Linked DNA regions of Solanum lycopersicum. The protein of the gene in region 1 binds, or shares a complex with, the protein of each later gene. Links are inferred from orthologs where the notes say so. Each region holds a gene or a part of one and is shown in the gene's direction. Other genes may lie near its edges.

Evidence for each region.
Region 2: small ribosomal subunit protein bS6c alpha (region 1) and 30S ribosomal protein S13 share a complex: the UniProt entries of both Arabidopsis thaliana proteins name them as parts of the 30S ribosomal subunit. The link is inferred for Solanum lycopersicum from reciprocal best matches to the Arabidopsis thaliana genes AT1G64510 and EMB3137.
Region 3: small ribosomal subunit protein bS6c alpha (region 1) and small ribosomal subunit protein cS23 share a complex: the UniProt entries of both Arabidopsis thaliana proteins name them as parts of the 30S ribosomal subunit. The link is inferred for Solanum lycopersicum from reciprocal best matches to the Arabidopsis thaliana genes AT1G64510 and PSRP3/1.
Region 4: small ribosomal subunit protein bS6c alpha (region 1) and small ribosomal subunit protein cS23-like share a complex: the UniProt entries of both Arabidopsis thaliana proteins name them as parts of the 30S ribosomal subunit. The link is inferred for Solanum lycopersicum from reciprocal best matches to the Arabidopsis thaliana genes AT1G64510 and PSRP3/2.
Region 5: small ribosomal subunit protein bS6c alpha (region 1) and small ribosomal subunit protein bTHXc share a complex: the UniProt entries of both Arabidopsis thaliana proteins name them as parts of the 30S ribosomal subunit. The link is inferred for Solanum lycopersicum from reciprocal best matches to the Arabidopsis thaliana genes AT1G64510 and PSRP4.

Annotation. Positions count from the first base shown.
Region 1 is NC_090807.1:67,612,539-67,616,768, reverse strand, and holds small ribosomal subunit protein bS6c alpha, read left to right. Parts: upstream 1-1,419; 5' UTR 1,420-1,534; coding exon 1,535-1,885; intron 1,886-3,798; coding exon 3,799-4,038; 3' UTR 4,039-4,220; downstream 4,221-4,230. UniProt on the Arabidopsis thaliana protein: Binds together with bS18 to 16S ribosomal RNA.
Region 2 is NC_090804.1:939,413-943,081, forward strand, and holds 30S ribosomal protein S13, read left to right. Parts: upstream 1-1,461; 5' UTR 1,462-1,540; coding exon 1,541-1,654; intron 1,655-2,041; coding exon 2,042-2,266; intron 2,267-2,880; coding exon 2,881-3,048; 3' UTR 3,049-3,158; downstream 3,159-3,669. UniProt on the Arabidopsis thaliana protein: Located at the top of the head of the 30S subunit, it contacts several helices of the 16S rRNA.
Region 3 is NC_090804.1:4,043,260-4,046,735, reverse strand, and holds small ribosomal subunit protein cS23, read left to right. Parts: upstream 1-1,226; 5' UTR 1,227-1,313; coding exon 1,314-1,535; intron 1,536-2,562; coding exon 2,563-2,844; 3' UTR 2,845-2,961; downstream 2,962-3,476. Other genes in the region: homologous-pairing protein 2 homolog, read left to right, coding at 3,427-3,454. UniProt on the Arabidopsis thaliana protein: Component of the chloroplast ribosome (chloro-ribosome), a dedicated translation machinery responsible for the synthesis of chloroplast genome-encoded proteins, including proteins of the transcription and translation machinery and components of the photosynthetic apparatus.
Region 4 is NC_090802.1:7,166,530-7,170,525, forward strand, and holds small ribosomal subunit protein cS23-like, read left to right. Parts: upstream 1-1,195; 5' UTR 1,196-1,302; coding exon 1,303-1,551; intron 1,552-3,143; coding exon 3,144-3,425; 3' UTR 3,426-3,631; downstream 3,632-3,996. UniProt on the Arabidopsis thaliana protein: Component of the chloroplast ribosome (chloro-ribosome), a dedicated translation machinery responsible for the synthesis of chloroplast genome-encoded proteins, including proteins of the transcription and translation machinery and components of the photosynthetic apparatus.
Region 5 is NC_090804.1:66,172,214-66,175,573, forward strand, and holds small ribosomal subunit protein bTHXc, read left to right. Parts: upstream 1-1,144; 5' UTR 1,145-1,367; coding exon 1,368-1,545; intron 1,546-1,647; coding exon 1,648-1,712; intron 1,713-2,602; coding exon 2,603-2,725; 3' UTR 2,726-2,856; downstream 2,857-3,360.

The DNA of each region.
Region 1 (4,230 bases):
AACTGTTGTAAAATAGGTCATCAGTTCAACTACCTATGCATAGTAGTTTTGACTTTCTGCAGTTTTTTGAGTACATGTGGAATACTGTCCATCTCTGCTTAGCATTTGCTTATCAGGATGTTGTTTTAATGTGAACCAATTCTTGTGATGAAAGGGAGTCTTGTAGTTAAGATTGTAATGATAATGAGTAAAGCCCGTGTCTTTAACTTTAACCTTTCATTGTTAGAAAAACCTGTACCTTTGTTATGTAGTTTCATATATCGACTGCCAGTTTCTAAGCTTGTTAAAGATGTGCCAGCCTAGAACTTGTATACCCCCTTCACAGAATAGCTAAGTGGACGGAAATGCTAAATATTTGATCTTCAGTGTGACAAGTTCGAATCATAATGGCCTCTTGGCTACTCTTGCTCAGTTTTTTCGCTCTTTTACTTCTACCTATTAACCATGTGTAGGAGAAAGAACCCGTTTTTTGTAGATACTGATGTAAGACCTATTACTAGTATAGATATAGATAGTAGTTCTGAATACTGAATGCTTCTAGGAGAGTGATGAGGGGTCAAAAGAGACTGGATTTTGATCTTTCTAGCAACAAAAAACAGCATACCCAGTGTGATCCCATCAGGTTTGGGGAGGGTGATGTGTATGCATGCCTTGTGAAGGATACACCTTGCTGCTCATGTAAATTCTTCTAACCCAGTAAACTATTACCCTGTTTTGGGTGTTGGGCTCATGTCATAACTCATAAGCCAATATCTTTGTTTTGTGGATATATACTTAATATATACACCTGCTTCCACTTCTATTGCAAACTTCCAATTATCCTTTTTATCTTCTATTTTCATAAATGGAAGATCCAATTGATATATTCAATTAGTCATTCGTCAAGTACATTGCCAACAACATAATCATGTACAAGATCACAATTCTCGATTCAACAAACATAACTCGAACAATGCAATTTGATTTAACATATAGAAAGTGCTATGTTTTTGTTATGCTAAATACATTACAATAGATTCTTTGTTCATTAGGAGATCTTCACCAAATTATTTATTCAAAACTTTGCTTACTTCTACCTCCTTATACTATAGTTAAGAGGGAACACAAACTGCCAATAAATAAATAAATATGGCCTCTTATAGTCACTTTAACTTGGTTAATTTTGATTTTGATCCTTATAATATCGAACTAAACACATTTAATCTTGAATTGATTAATTCTTTTAAAGAGGATTAAAGTATTTTTAGACGAATATTACCGTAAAACATGAAATACCAATACAATTTCATATTATATGAAAATTAAGTGATAGAACAATTAACCATCACTTTCAATTAATTAAAAATAAATCAAATTTAATCCATGACTTAAATTTTGCAAGAAAAAAATAAAAAGAAAGGAGTAAAGTAGCATTTACAAGTCTTGAGGGTATCTAAACAAAAAAAAAGCAATAAATTTCACTTGTACAATTTTACCAACTCAGAACTGAAAATTGTGAATTTCCTCTTTCTTATCCACTTTATCTCCCTCAAGAATGGCGTCTTCTTCTTCTTCTCCATCAGTACTTCCATCTCTTACCTCCACTCTCTCTTCTTCTAAACCTTCAATACCCTTCAACTTCAAAGGTTTCACCAAAAGGGTCAACAATTCTGGGCAAATCTTGAAAGCCCAAACTCTAGAATTTTCGGGCTCGTTTTTCGAGGGTGGATTTGGAGGAGGAAATGCTGATGAACCACCGACTACACCATGGTCGGGTATTTCTGCAGTTGAAGATAAAGAGGAACCGCAGTGTCCACCTGGGTTACGCCCTTATGAAACAATGGTGGTATTGAGACCTGATATGTCTGAAGATGAAAGACTTGCTCTTACCCAGAAATACGAAGAGGTAACAATGATTGTTTTTGTTTTTGGAAACTGATATAACTTGCAAGGTGCTAAGCTCAATTTGGGTGGATTCTAAGTTTTCAATTGCTGATTTGACTGTTTGAGCATTAGAGTTGAAGTTGAGAGTTCTAAAGATTGAATTTTTGAAACTAATATACTGTTTCTTTCCATTTTGTTTGGCGCATTTTGCTTATTTAGGGTCAATTTGATTGACTTTTGGAGATAAATTGAACTAGACTAATTCCTTTTGTATGAGAAAGTATTATAATTCTCTTAGTATCCCGAGTGTTCTCCGGAAACAGCCTCTTTACCTCCAATATATAGGTGTATGGTCTGCGTATACTCTACCCACAGACCCCTCTTGTGATGTTTCACTGTTTTTTTGTTGTTGTTATTGTAATTTTCTTAGTATCTATGCTGAAGGCAAAGAATAAATTTTTAATATGTTTGTCATAGTTCATGAATGAGAAGTGAAGGTTGCCACACATTAGGACTGAAGGAGTAAGTATTTTTATCAGAAGTTGAGCTGCATATAGTATCATTTGATACTCTTCAGCTGATTTCATTGTGAACTGGGAAATGAAGATAATTATACTCATTTGAAACAGGGAGATCATTTAGGAAACAGAACAAGTGATTGATATTTGGTTTGACATGATGAGAATTTCTTCCATTCCCCTCTCTTGGCTAAAAAAACTGTTTTTTTTCTTTCTTTGTCTGCTAAGAGGCGGAAACCTGAAAGCAAAAGCAATATCGACCTTGCAATTTATTTAAGCACAAGATTGTCCAAGAATATTCTTCCTTTTTGTTTTTTTGTCTACTCACTAGAAGGCCATTCTTTGGAAAAATCAGATATTTGAACCTAACAACAGTCAACAGTGTTTGGGTGCATAATTCAACATTTTGTTATAATTTAAGCTGACATGGACATGATCTAAGTAAGAAGAAAGTTAGTCTCAGCTTCTGCTACAATTTTCATTCTTCTTGTTCCCATGTAAGAGCTTTCATTTTTAATCTTGTTCTTTTTCTCTATCTGCTTTTCGAGTCCAAAAGCCTTGGTCTGATGACTATTATCACCTTATCATTCTTCTTTGTGAACATGGATGATCATTGTATTTTTGTTTGCCCATCTCATTTTTGATGTTATAGTCGACGTCTATAAGAAAAATAGGCTTGCAAAGCTGCGGAGGACAATAATAGAAGTACTTAAAGTTGATGAAACTCTATTTTCTACATGACCCGTTTACTACTGTATTTCCGTTTCTTACTGATTGTTGTTTTGTTTCACTTGAGCCGAGGGTCTATTTGGAATAGCTCTATACCTTTACTAGGTAGGGGCAAGGCTGCGTACCCACCAACATCCCCATATCCCGCATGTGGGATTGCACTGAGTATGAAAGGACTTAAAGTTGATTAAACTATCTGTCATCTTTCACCTACAAATGATTGGGGAAACTTTCACTTAGTTAAATCCCTGATAAGCTTGAAGAGAGAAAAAAGTTAAGCATCAGCACACGTGTCTTTGTTCTATGTTTGTTCCAACATTTACTGCGTTTCAGCTTTTGCCTAACAGGTCAATCAAATAGACACACTTGTAAGTGCCAATGTTTCCCATGTTTTGTGTTTCTCTTTGTCAGATACTCCGTCTAACCAACCAAAGAAACTCTCTTCAACATGGTATCGGATCAGGCTCTCATTGCCACACATTATCAAAAAAGGATTTACACAAGTCCACACGTGAAGGGAAATATTAAAATTATACTTGACCATCTCATCTAAAAGTACATAATAGACTTATAGTAACTCTGTTATGGATTGAACAGTTCTAACTAATATTGTCTCCGATCAATTTCAGTTGTACATGCTATTTGACGATGCAAGTTATAATCTTTTGTTTTTCTTTCTCTTGGGCAGTTGCTGGTTGCTGGTGGTGGTATGTATGTGGAAGTCTTCAACCGAGGGGTTATTCCACTTGCATACAGCATTAGGAGGAAAAACAAAGCTGGAGAGACAAATACGTACTTGGACGGTATCTACCTCCTGTTCACTTATTTTACTAAACCTGAATCCATTGTAGCTCTTGAGGCAACATTGGTAGCTGATGATGATGTTATCCGGTCGTCCACTTTCAAGATTAGGAAAAGAAAATACTAGTTTGGTTGGTTAGTTTAATTTGTGTATCTGTTCAGTTGTAAAAGACGATAACAGAGAGCAGGCAAGTTTTCCTCATCGCGCCTTTCAGATGTTTAAGTCATGACAGTCCTTTTCACAGCAAAACAGTATCAATTTGTAACATTCTTTTATATTACTGAAAGTTGCCATTACATTCTGCTCAAGTATCCTCCA
Region 2 (3,669 bases), on another chromosome or scaffold:
CACTGCGGACTTATTCAAGAGTGACGTTCCTAACAAAATTTTCTTGATACCTAGGGCTTGAACTTGCAATTAATTAGAGCCCCGACAAATTCTGATCGCGGCGCATTGTGGACTCATTCAAGAGTGGCACTCCCAGCAAAACTTTCCTCATACCTAAGATTTTAAACGTGAAACATCTGATTAAGGGTGACACAATTTCATCATTACGCCACAATTTATATTTAAAAATAAATTAAATTTAATGATTTAATAAAGTAGAAATACATGTTAATTAATCATAAATTAAAATTATTGTGTATGTTTCAATACATATACATATTATGCATTTATTTATTTGCGATAAACATCTAATATGGATAAATTTTAATTTTTTCAATGGGTGGCAATTAAGTTGCTATTTATAATGCCGCATAAACAGTTATTAGTTATTGCTAGCAAATTCGTAGGATTTTGCAATTGGAAGGTGTTTTATTTTTAGGAATTTATAAAGTAAATTACTCACAACTCATAAGAATCGTTTGAAGTACCCATTAAGATGTAATTTATAGGATTAGTAAGTCATGAAATTTATTAGTTATAATCTTATAATATTAAAATTACTAAATTAATGGAGTATTAAAATTTATAAAATTCTTTACTTTAAAAATAGGTTCTCTCTAATTTTCTCTAAAATATTCTTCTTGTTCTTGCTTTATTATTTTATAACCACTTCTAATCTTATGTTGTTTATAAGAATTTTTTATTGTTGCCCATGAGAGATCTTTATTTTTATGCCTACAAAATTTTAAAAGATCAATTTTCTTTTTATTCAATTGGTAAGTGATCATGTAAATTTATTTTCAACTCGCATTTCTATCGCCCCAAATTTAGGTTAGGCCTTAGATAAAAAGAGCGATATCAGAAATGAAATGTAGAGATTTCTTTGTAAAGCTAATATTTTCTTCATTTCAATTAGATGTAATACGAAGGCTACAATTACATGTTACAACCAAAACATAATATGAAATTTCAGATGTAAAATAGAAGTAATGTGACGTGTAAAATGTGTAGAGTACTGATATAATGTCTAGTTATGTTAAATTATTAATAATATTTATAAAGTGCATAGTAATAAATTACTATCGTCTTAATGAGTTATCGATTCATCCAATAACCAAATACTAAAAATTGATACCTAATCAAAAACCCTTTATAGATCCGTTAAAAATCCATTAACTCAATAATTCAATAACCCAATAACATTTTTTTAATAGGTTTATTGATCGATTCGATTTTTCCACATCCTTATTGGGAGGTGACAGTATGATAGACATCGGTGAATTTAGTCGAGTGCATGAAAACTAGCCCGAATACCATATTAATAAAATAAAATTTAAAAAAAAAAAAAAAAGAACAACCGGGGCTCCATATTAGCAAACCAGGTCGAAAAGAAGAACTCCATTCCCTATCCAATTTTCCCCAATAGGATAAGAAAAATAGACCAGCAAAAGGCTCTATCTTCTTCCTTCTTCAATTTCTTCATCAATCAAGATTTTCAACAATGGCGCAAACACTAGCAACTCCTGTACTTCCTTCTCTTTCCCTTATCTGCAACACATCTTCCATCTCCAAGCACAGTTCCCTCTCTTTTTCTACTCCCACATCTTTTCCAAAGGTACACTTCACTCCCTTCTCTTGAAATTTGCAGTAATCAAACATGGAGTTTGCTGAAGTTTACATTTTTTGACCTTTTTCGTGTAGGAATTGGAATGGGGTTTGTCTTTTTTTTTCTCGCAATTTTCTCAGTAACCAAACATGGGTTTTGCTAAAGATTACTTTTTTTTTTACCTGAGTAGGAATTGGAATGAGTTTTTGGATTTTTCGAAATTTTCTCAGTAACCCAACATGAGTTTTTTTTGCTAAAGTTTCCGTTTTTTTGAGGTGGGATTGAATTGAGGTTTGCTTATTTTTCATATTTTTGGACTTTTTTGAGTTGGAATTAAATTGGGTTTTGCTAAATTTTCCATGATTTTGAGTTTGAACTGAAATGAGTTTTGTGTAGACTGCAGGTTTGGTTATAAAGTGTGTGCGTGTGGGAGGAGTGGAAGTTCCAAACAACAAAAGAGTTGAGTTCTCTTTGCAATACATTCATGGAATTGGCCGCACCACTGCACGCCAGATTCTGGTAGACCTTCAAATGGAGAACAAAGTGATGAAAGACATGTCGGAAGAGGAACTTATCACTCTTCGTGAAGAAGTCTCTAAGTACATGATTGAAGGAGACCTTGTGAGTTTCATTGCTCTAATTTGTACTCATTTGTTTTCGTTCCAATGTGCATATCCTTATTGAAACTTATATGCTTAGGTAATTTGATTTCGATATCTAGTTCATGTAACTTTGCTGTGGTTGCTGTTTATTTTAGCTCTATAGTTTAACTTAATGCCATTTGGGGTTCTAAGAAATTTAATTCATTTTGTCTCAAGATAGGAATTGAACCAAAAAAACAATATCTTAAACCAATCTTTGGTCCAACTTTTACATGGAAAGAACCATATTTGAGCTGAAACTGCATTCTACATATCTTGAGATTAAAACCAGAAGATCGAAAAATCTTCTTTACTTTCTTAAACTTTGTGTCAAGTCAAATCCGGACAAACAAATCGAAACAAGGGGAGTTATTGTTAGGTGGGTATGTAGGATCATGGCTTCTATATGCATCACAGCCTTATCCCAAATTAAACAGTTCTTATGGAAATGTATTTCAGAAGAAATCGATAGCTTGTTTAGCAATTGGCAATGTTGATTGAGATTCTTGTGTATAAGGTTGTTTGTTTGATTGATGCTTCGGCTTCCTATTTGAAACGGGAAAATTGATTACATACTTGTGGTGTTGGCATCAGAGGAGATTCAATGCTCTTGCCATTAGGAGGTTGAAGGAGATTCAGTGCTATAGAGGAGTAAGGCACATCCAAGGATTGCCTTGCAGAGGACAACGAACAAAGAACAATTGCCGTACTTTGAAGGGCAAGAAAGTAGCAATTGCAGGGAAGAAGAAGGCACCTCGTTAAATCAAGATCGATTTTTCATTTCTTTTGGTAACTAACTTGTAAAAGTTACACTCTATATTCCTATGGCAAACTGTGCATTTGTTTGTTATAAACAGTTTTTTCCATTGAAATCATTTTTCTACATTTCAAGATAAGAGCTTTTCAAGAAGAATGTTGATGCTTAGGCATAATCTCTTCCTTAAATCTTGTTAAATGTGTTTCATGTGGAGTAATTGCGAATTTACGTTATTCTGATTGGATGATTTGGTTGACAGGAGAAAGGTTTGTTAAGTTACGTTAGGTGTCATAATAATTGTTGATGTAACGACCTATGAAGTGCAGTCCCTATCTATGAGCCTTGGTTTAAGCTTCAAGTTCAGTAATGTGTTTGGGCCAAGTATTTGCATTAATGTGATACCAAAGTTTTACAATTTGAGTCATAGCATTGTTAATGTAATGACTCGTTAGGTCATTTTGAGAATTAACTAAAAGCATAGAGTTTGTGGCACCTTTTTGTCACATGCATGAGCATGAAAGTTAAGTCCCACCCCTTTAGTACTCAAGAAGGTTCACTTTTCTCAGGTTTCTTGAAGACCATGACTTCTGTTTTTCAATAGTGATGATGTTCAGATCAATTTACAC
Region 3 (3,476 bases), on another chromosome or scaffold:
CCTTATCACATAGTACCCTAGTACGAACCTTCATTTTATCCAGTCCATTTCAATTATGCAATGTACGATATCATCATCAATCTCCGTTCTTCCGGGATACGACACCTCTAGCCCAATATTAGCTCTTAGGAAAAATAAAACCAAGCGTCACATTGATCATAAAAATATACTTTTTTGTGTATGTAAAGGGCAAATTATAAGTATGAATTGAATTAGTGGTTTCTTCAAATTTGCAACTCATTTTGATCACTTCATAATTAATATGACTAATATTAATATTATTATTTTTTTATTATATGATTTTGTCAATATCATAAAATTCAGCTCAAGTAATGTTTTTTCTTCATAAACTTGAATGAGTAGTACGCATGGACATATATATCAAAAGTCGTCTCTTTTACTAATTATGTAGAAAATGACATTGAAAGAAAAATATTTATGATATATGAACTTCATTTTCAATTTTTTTTCAGATCTTATTAAAAAGATGGCTTTTTATTAATACCAATAAGAAAGAATGTAGCTCTAGGACATTCTTAATATGCCCCTCTTTTGTTAATATTAGAGATTTAATTTCACGAATAGTCAAAGAGGCATACATATATCACACTCATCCACATGTTCAAGGCGCAACATCTATCTCAAAAAATGATTTTCTAAAAATAATAATGATAGACGTGTTAAAAAAGTAATGTGAAGTCATTGTCGAGAGAGTTGCTGACTAATGACCTAAAAAAGTACGTAACATTTGAGAAGCACGAACAATCTTCACCCATGAGATACATTCTACTTTTTTTTGAATAATCAGATAATATTGATCAATTTGATTAGGGATGACAAAATTAATCTATAAAAATCTGATACTCATAAGTTTTGTCTACTAAGAATTGTAAACTTGATAAAAGTTGAACATATTAGACTACGACAAAATACTAACCCATCTTATCTCAAATTTATAATCTTCAAACAAATCGATACCACTCGTTTATCAACACAACTTTAACTCTCAAAAAATTGTTCAATCCGCTCGTTTGACATCCCGAATCAACTCAACGTTGCTAAATATACAAAATTAGTAAAGCTATGATAACTAATGATCATATTTCTTTTGGGCCCAAATCCCATAACATGACCAAAGTCCTCACCCATAGGCCTCTTAGCCCAATTTAAACAACTTTCATTTTTTTTCTTCTATTACCTTATCCATTCTATCATTATCTCAAATTCTCTATACACACTCTTTTTAAGGCCACAATTTTCCCACTTCACTTTTTTTCATCACTAGACAAATATTTTTTTTATCTACACAAAAAATGTTATCAATGTCTGTTCAATCTAGCTTGAAAGGCAATTTGAGTATCCCTTCTTTACCTTCACAAAATCCAGGTTATAAATCCTTCAAATCATGTTCTTCATTATCTTTTAACAACAAAGGTTTATCAACAAGAAGAATTCATAAGATTTTTGCTTCAGCAGTTGCAGAAGCAGAATCAGTTGAAGTTGAGACTTCAGAGTCTGTTGTTCAAGAAATTGAGGTAAAAAATCAGCTCTTTAATTTTCAATTAGGTAACTTTTTTCGATAACTTAGTGTCTAGATTAGTTTTTGCGCTACTCAATTAATTTCATGAATGGTAGTGTTACTTCTCACTAGTAAAATTGAGTAATCTTTGTCTGATTTTGACTTGATACGTAATTTAAGAATGTAAATACTCCCTCAATCCATCTTTACTTGGTCATTATATTAAAAATAGTCGTCTAACAATACTTGTCCAATTTGAAAAACATGAAAACCCTTGATATTGAATACTACTATTCAATATATAATACATTTTCCAAAGCATCAAATTTATATTCAAAGGATAATATAGTAATATTTTAGAATCATTTGATATATACGACAAATCTAGAATTTTTAAGTCTTTGAATTCACTTTTACTATGATTATTTAACACGTACTGTGTTGTTCGACTTTTCTAAATATGAAATGGTAGTCCAACAACTTCTTAATGAAAATGAGTAATAACTAGCAAATTTATGAATGTTTTAATTAATAAAAAAAAGGCATAATTGGGGAAATATATTGATCATTTAGCTAAAAACAGAACAAAAATGGAGTTAAATTATAGCATTACCTATAAATATAAGTTATGTTTCGACAAAAACTAGATATATCAATTCGTACCCTCGAGCCCTAAAATTTTAGTGATGATGAATTCAACCTCTAGATCAAACATTTGTGTCATATACTTGCACCCGTACCAAAACAACATAATGTATGTACATATTGACCCAAAAATAACAGATTCAGTTGAACACTTGAACACATTTAACTCATCCTAGCTAGATACGCCTATGACAAAATCCAATCTCTGACTTCCACCCGTGTCAAATACTCAAACTCGTATTGAAACGTCTACATTATTAAAGATGAAAATAAGAAGTTCAGTTGAATGCACATAATTCATTCCAGATACGTACGACTATATAAATAATAAGCCCAAAAAAGGATAGGATATTATGTTTTGATATCTTATAGTGAATTCTTGGATATATTTTTTTCAGAAAGTTGATATGAAGAAAAAGGTAATTGAGAAGCCAAGGCTAGTGCTAAAATTCATATGGATGGAGAAAAATATTGGACTTGGCCTTGATCAAGTTTTACCAGACCATGGAAGTGTACCATTAAGTCCATATTTTTTTTGGCCTAGAAAAGATGCATGGGAAGAGTTGAAAACAACACTAGAGAGTAAGCCATGGATATCACAAAAGCAAATGATTATTTTGCTTAATCAAGCTACTGATATTATCAATTTGTGGCAGCAGAGTGGTGGAAATTTGACCTAATTGTTGTTTTTGGTATTTATTTGTAGACAAATTGTTTCAACTTTCTGTTTTTGTTTTATCTTATTTTTAACTGTACTATAGTTGATGGAGAATACAATTGGAATCATTTTTGTTTCATTTTTTAAATTGTTTAATGTGTTCTGACTGGACGATAAGATAATCAAAATTTGTGAATAATTTAATAAGATAGGTGAAATGAAGATAGTATCAACAAGTTTTATACGCACAAAATTGAAACCATGGCCGATTTTGTTTTCTTTTAATTCAATATATTTTTTAGCGATTGTTCATCTTCCACCGCCCGTTATATTTGGACTTTATTATGAACTAAAAGCCCGTAAAGTCTCTCTAGTTGGGTTGGTTCATCCTAACAAGGCCCATGGGCTCTATGGCAACTCTCACTTGAAACTTGCGATGGAAGAATCCTCTTTTCGTAATTAGTGGCTATACTAAGGGTAAGTTCCCGCGATGTTCAACTACGACATCGTATAAAGGCCTTCGTGCCCAATGTTTCCTGTGAATTCGAAGTACAGAAATTTTGACAGAAGTTTTTTTTCCCGCGCTCTGTGAATTCTCCAATCCATGGCTCCTAAAGCAGATAACACTGAAGGTAACTTCTCTCGCCGGATAAC
Region 4 (3,996 bases), on another chromosome or scaffold:
CCATGTATAAATAATATAATTTTCCGCCGAACGAGGTTGGGATGAACCTAACTATAAGGTGGCTCTGCCATTGAATACGATACATTATGTGACAATACATAACAATTATTCAAACAAAGTGGAAGACTTCAAAGGATTATTGAACATTTTATCTACAAGTGTATTGTCTCTATGAAGTAGAGAGACCAGCAACAGAATCTAATGGTATATCTCTAAATCTGAACCAATCAATAACATGAAAACTGAATTGGACAACTTACCTGGTGATTGATGTCTCTAACGAAGAAGAAGAAACTCCAATTAGAAGGATATTGAATGAGAAGGAAAAATGAAAAAAATTGAAGTGAATTTAAAGCCAAAAAAGAAAGGGTTATTGAAGATTTACGTGTTTCACGGGTTGACCCGTTTTAAAGGACTGTTTGGTGTGGCTGCTTGTTAGAGTCGCGCTGGCTTTCACGGTTTTCTTTTGGGTTAGTTTACTCCAAAACTACACTTTTTGACCATTTTGTATTTGGCCTCCTCTTTTCTTTTTTTTCCTCTTTATTCGATTCGAGTTAATTATTCTAACATATTTTATGTTATTGCGATTCATAGATGATATTGATATACATTATAATATTATGATATATTGATTTATTTTACGAGTTTTGATCACTTTATCAAAAAAGAAAGACTTCATTTTAAAGGGAGTGAAGGGTATTTAAAAGTGGAGTCGTAAATATTCTAGGTCCCTTCTTAGCCGCTGAATCACTATAATTTCTGGTTTCGTTAAACCTTTTACCATCCATTGTATCACAATCATCTTAAGGATAGAGAACCAAGTTTATTTTTTTCTTTGAATAAAATGTCCAGACATAGAATAATCATTTGAGTAAGCATTGTTGTTACAATATAATCTCATTGTTAGAAATATATCCTATCTAAAATTATCCAAAAATTGTACTCCAATCCACAAATAACATATAATTCAGAAATTTTAGGCTATTGTTGCAATTATATCGGCCTAAATTAGCCTGAAATTAGTCCAAATAATTAAACAATAACCTAAAGTATAGTCCCAACACTAAAGTTTGCTAAGTTAATTTTTGGTGGATATTCGATAGTTTATAAAGTTTAGTATCATGATCCGTCACTTTTAAAGTCGAAATCCGTGATATTAGGCTATCATTTAAATAGATTTACCCAACCCCAAAAAATCCGGGTCGGGTTATATTGTGTCGGATCTTTTTTTCTTATCTAGACTTTGATGAAGAACACAACACAATGACAGAGAAGCTCTGAGTTTCCCCTTAGCTGTTGAAAATGATGTTATCAATGGCTACACAGCTTACTGTGAATTGGGTTCCTGCGTTTTCTTCTCAAAACCAATTTTTTTCACCCAAATTTGTCTTCTTTACAAAGGGGCAGTCTTTTTCTCGACGTTCTAATGTCTCAGCAATCGTACCCAGAAGAAATCTTGGGGGTTTTGCTACTTCAGCTGCGGCTGCCTTGAGTTTTGCTGAAGAAACATCGACCCGTGATTCTATTTCCTCAGATTCTCTTCAAAAAGAGGTAATTTTCACTCTCTGACTTCCCTCTTAGGTGTTGTTTGGTAGAGTGTGTATAAGTATCAGTAATGCTGCGATTATTTCCTATCCATTGTTTGGTTTCTGTTTGTTAACCAACCAACACCTGCACAACTGGCCCTTGTTTTCGGGGGCGAGCTTAGTGCACCAGGCTGTGGACAGTACATGGTCCAGAGGGAGCTTAGTGCATCGCGCTGCCCGTTATAATCCTTTAGTTTTTTGTTGAATTGTGGGAAGTGAACCATCCTCTTAATGTTAAAAGATTTTGCATCCAAGGGTGTGTCTTAATTGTCAATAGAACTAGAATGAAAAAGATTACAATGGAAGACCATGTAATAATCCACCAGAGGCACTATGAAGAATAATATGTAGTTTCTTCCGATTTGGGGATCGCCTGGAAATTGGAATACTAATTTTAAAAAAGAAAAGTTGTAAGCTTAGGAATAATGGGGCAGATTTATTTATAGGAAAAGGGCCAATTTTTCTCTTGAACTATTTGAAATAAGATTACTTTGTTGTCCGTTTCGGTTTTTGGCACAAAAATACCTTTGCCATTAGCTGGCTTGATAAATCACATTCTTACTATGCTATCATCTTTTAAGTTGATCAAAGTGTAAGTTTGTATTCAGTTATATCATAACATTCAATCTCTCCGTACTAGCGTAAAGTAGATATTCGAGTTAACTTTATACTATGGGAACGTTATTAGTATCTTTTTTCAGTTGACAGGAAAAAGGTCTTTCTCGTAAAAGATAGCATTAATTTGTGAAGATTTGCTATCAAGAACAAGTTCTTAATACCTAATCAATATTCATTAATGACCAAGCAAATAAATTTGTTTTCGTTAGGGATGATATATAAAATGTTAAACATGACCAGATGCCTCATTGGTTCCAAAATTTTGTGGGTGATATTGACTTTGTTTAAGGACTGGAGGATAACTTTGTCCCTTTTCCATCTGAGTGGGACAACCGTTAGTGAGTAGGGAAATTTTGAGCCACTTGGCTAACAGCGATGGCATTTTTGTTTCATAAAACGAAATGGAGGACATAATTGTCCTATTTCAAAAATTTAAAAAGCAAAATTGGTCTTTTATCTTTATTTTTATTATGTCTGAAAGGCTGCAACAGATCTCCACGGGTTTGATTAGTTTTCTTTTCCGATTCTTTTTTCTTGAACCAAGTTGATGGATGACGGTTCAAACCAGTGCATCTGTCGTTTTAATACGATGTTGGGTGAATGTCTCATTTAGTTGTTTAACCTGTTAAAAAAAATTGTTTTTATTTATTTTGTTATGTATGCAACACGTCTCCTCGGCTCTGTTTCTTTCTTGGACCAAATTGATGGCTGGTTCTTCGTACCAATGCATCTGTGTACTTTAATACTATGCTGCGTGAATGTCTCAAGACATTTATAAGTTCAATGGTTAGAGACGAACTGCTTTGATTTACATAGTTATGTCTGCAATATCTTTATTTTGGTGTTTGATTCTCATTTTATTTAGTTTTTTAAGAATTTCATAATATTTGCACCATTTTCATTATGGTGTTTGGCTCTTACAATCTGCTGGATGTACAGAAGCTCGGTGTGTTGGTCAAGCCACTGGAGAAACCTAGGCTAGTGTTGAAGTTTATTTGGATGGAGAAGAACATCGGAATTTCACTAGACCAGGTAATTCCTGGTCATGGCACGATTCCGTTGAGCCCCTACTATTTTTGGCCTAGAAAAGATGCTTGGGAGGAACTTAAAGTCATGCTCGAGAGTAAACCATGGATATCCCAGAAACAGGCAATTATTCTTCTTAATCAGGCCACGGATATCATCAATTTGTGGCAACAGAGTGGTGGTGATTTAGCCTAAGCCTTCATAGAACAAGATTTGTCATGCTGCCACTGTTCATCATTTATCTTTAGCAATCATGCCTGTTATGTTGTAACTTTTTTCACTTGAAAGGTCAGTCAAAACTTATTCAATTTGTTTGTTTAGATTTTCCTCTTGTTTCCTTTAGTTTTTGGATCATATTGTAAACTATATATCTTAAAATGTTAGCCTTGGTTCTTCATGAATATTAACATCTAACAGAAACAAAATTAAATTGTACTGATGGTAGGAATTTATCTATGTTGAGTATCGCACGTCGTGGGGATAGTACGCTCATTTGGTCTCTTTATATAGTCTTGGCTAATCCTTCTCCATTTGCTAGGTCCAAGATTCATTTCTCATCAAAGGTATCTAATCCAGACCCATCGCAATTCATCGTTTTCGATGTTGGCCCCATCATATATTGTTAAAGTGTCCCTCATTGGTTGGGATAGGGTCATTTGGTATCCTTATATGGTCTTGGACTATCCCTTTAATGAGTTAAGTTTTGGGGTTGAATTAGGCTAGTGATTTATATTTCTTACCATATAGCTTGGGGTTGAACAACGAC
Region 5 (3,360 bases), on another chromosome or scaffold:
AACTACAGAGTGGAGAAGAAGTTCCTCAAGACGTCGATTTAAATCACATATTTGAATAAATACTAACGTGAATGATCGATCTATTGTGTTTTTTTTCTGTAGGGAAATGGCTATATTATTTGTTCTTGATTTTCTGTGTCTAGATTGAGTAGAGTGATTTGCATGGGAGCTGTTCACCACCACCAACAACAACATCTACGGTTCAGTACCAAACAAGTTGAGGTCGACTATATGAATCTGTACTGTCATAGTTCGAGGTCAATTTTGTGGTCGATAATAAGTGAATTGAGTTCTCAAATTTTTGTAGAGTAGGGTATTTCATCTTTTGACTGACTTGTTATTAATATATTTTTGTATTTTTGAGTGAGTTTGGTAAAAAAAAAATTATAATCAATTGGGAATGTCTTGTATGATTAATCATTGTGTTACTTCCTACATTGTATATCAACGTACATTTTTTTCTTTTTTCTTGTCTTTTAAGAAATATTAAAAATATTTATTTTTTTACTAATTTACTGTTATAATTATTTTTCATAAATTCTATTTTTTGTGTCTTTATCTGTTAATAACAAAAGAGGAACTTTACAATATTTATATTTTTAATCAAAAAGAGTCGATTTAAGGTGCAAAATGGAAAAAAATAGAATTAATTTTTTAATTTGACAAGTAATTTTGAATAAATATCTTTGTTAATGTAGACAAGTAGTCTGTCATAGAGGTGTACTATTATCTCATTACTTCTCTTAATTATTATATATGTTAAAATTTCTTTATGTATGTGATGAAATCTAACTATATTTATACTCCCTCCGTCTCATTTTGCAATTTATTTGTCTATTTTCACACATAAAAAAAGATAATTTTTTTTCTTATTATATTCTTATTTAAGCTTCCTGAAAATTTTTAAGTTTTAATTCATCTTTTTCGAAATCATAATTAATAAGGGCAAAATTGTAACTTCACTATTCTAATTATTGCTATATTAATATGTTTGTCATTTCTAAAATGGACAACTAAATAGGAACAGATAGAGTTTGAGATAACACTATTATTCCTTATTTCTCGTTCCAAACAATCCTTTTCAGGTCTCAGTTTATTGCTTGATATACTTTTACATAAAAAATAATTGATCTTCTGATAACTTGAATTCACAATTTTAAAGTTTAAAATGAATGGTATTTACCATCCAAGTAACTCTTAACGTTTTTTTTTTTAAAAAAAAAAAACAAGGAAAAATAAGTGAATTTTACCTTAATTCAGGGGTATTTGAATAAAAAAAAGACAAAGGGCACATTATCTAGAAACAGAATAAGAAGCTATAGAACCACCACAAATAAAATCTCAATTCTATCAGTTGAGCTGCTGCAATGGCGTCGTTGTTAGTTGGTTCAGTTCCTATGAGTACTGTTCAATCCATGGCTTCTCTTTCTCCTAATTTATCATTCTCTCGTTCTCACTCCGTCGCCGGCAGCGTTTCAATTACGGCGGCATCTCCTTCACCATCAATTTCGTTTTCGTCTCTCACTGATTCAAATCTCCCATTGGGTACGAATCACATACCTTTTCGAATTTATTGTTTGTGAAAATTTTGTGATGATTGAAGTTTCAGTTCGAGAAATTGAAATTTTGATTTGATTTCATTTTCAGTTTACTGCGGTAGAGGTGATAAGAAGACGGCGAAAGGCAAGCGGTTCAATCACTCCTTTGGCAATGTGAGTTTGTATATTTTGGTTTATTGCAGGATAAGACCTCCTTAATATGATTTAGTTTCAGATACACCCCTGTATATTTTATAAACAAACACTTACCTCCTCTATATTAGGAGAATCCTACACTAACATTCTAGTTTGATACGTGGAATAAGAATAATAATCTCGAAATAGAATTTGAGATTAAATTTATTGCATATTTGAGTTAAAGGTATTGGCTTAAAATAACGAGTGTATCGAAGATGAATAAATAATTCCATGAGATATTTAATGTATTTATGCCTTTAAATTTTAGAAAAGAGAAGTATGTGTTTTGTTGAAATTGATAAATAAGATATCAACACAAATTACTTAATATGAATAATTTTTTAACTCATATTTGATTAAATGAATGTTAATTCCATATAAAATGATTTATAGATTCACTTGGAATAAGATTATTGGTGCATAAGGTTTTGCATAATTAATGCAGGAGTTTAATGCTTTTAATATTATAGAATTTTATACTGAGATTCAATTGTTCATACATTTAGACGAATTGACCCCTAAAAAGTTTTGAAGTTTATTTTTGATTGCAACCTAGATGCATCTCGACTAATTTTATCAATAGATGGGATAAATTACCTAGTGTTATTTTGTCTCTGATAGAATTTGAACCTGAAACCTCATGATTCTCGACCCTCTTCGTTAACCACCAATGTTGATGATAGATTCAAAATAGTCTGTTAAATATGCTCTAACCAATTTTTAGTACTTTGAAGTTTAGAGTGTTATCATCATACGTTTAACAATTTATGTTCGTTAGATTTGACAGAAATAGTGAAAAAACAACAGTTGTTTCGACATTTTTTGTTGTTATTTTGAACTGATTCCGATGGTATGAATTGGTTTAGGCAAGGCCAAGGAACAAGAAGAAGGGAAGAGGACCACCTAGGGTTGCAGCACCACCAGCAGCACCAAAGAGAGATCCATTTGATGATGGCCAAGTCGTTAAAATTGAAATACATGACCCATAGTTTTCTCGGAGGAGCAATTTCATTTTTATGTAGCTCTAATCTTCTACTACTTTGTTTATTTCATTGAAATATCGATTAAGTTAATCATTTGGACTGAGATTTCTAGTTTGCTTGAAGGGTCTTCGTTTAAATGCTCTTGTGTCCTGTTAAATTATGCATTTTGGTTCTAGCAACCTTCAGTAGACAAGTGGTAATAGTCACTACTTTAGCTATTGAGAAAAGTGAAAAGCTTAGAGAACCCCACATTCCTTATGGGTTGAAAACCACGAGGTTTTAGGTTCATATACTAGCGGAGACAAACACATTAGGAGGTCTTTTTGTAGAGTGTATAAGAATAGTAATATATAGTGTATTACTAATGCTGGGATTAGTTATGTTGGAGCTATTTCCTACCCACTATTTGGTTTGATATATTATCAAGGGCACTTTGGCCTCGAACAAAGAAAGGATCAAAAAATGTCATAGCTAATACATCCTACCAAATGACCCCTAGGTGGTTCTTATTTAGACCTTCGTGGATAGAATTACTCCATATCTGTGCTGGTTGGAGGTAACCTTTACCTCGAAGAATTAGTCAAGATGTGAGTGAGCAAATCCAGTCACAAAAAAACTTCTTTTGTTTGGGTCACCAAGTT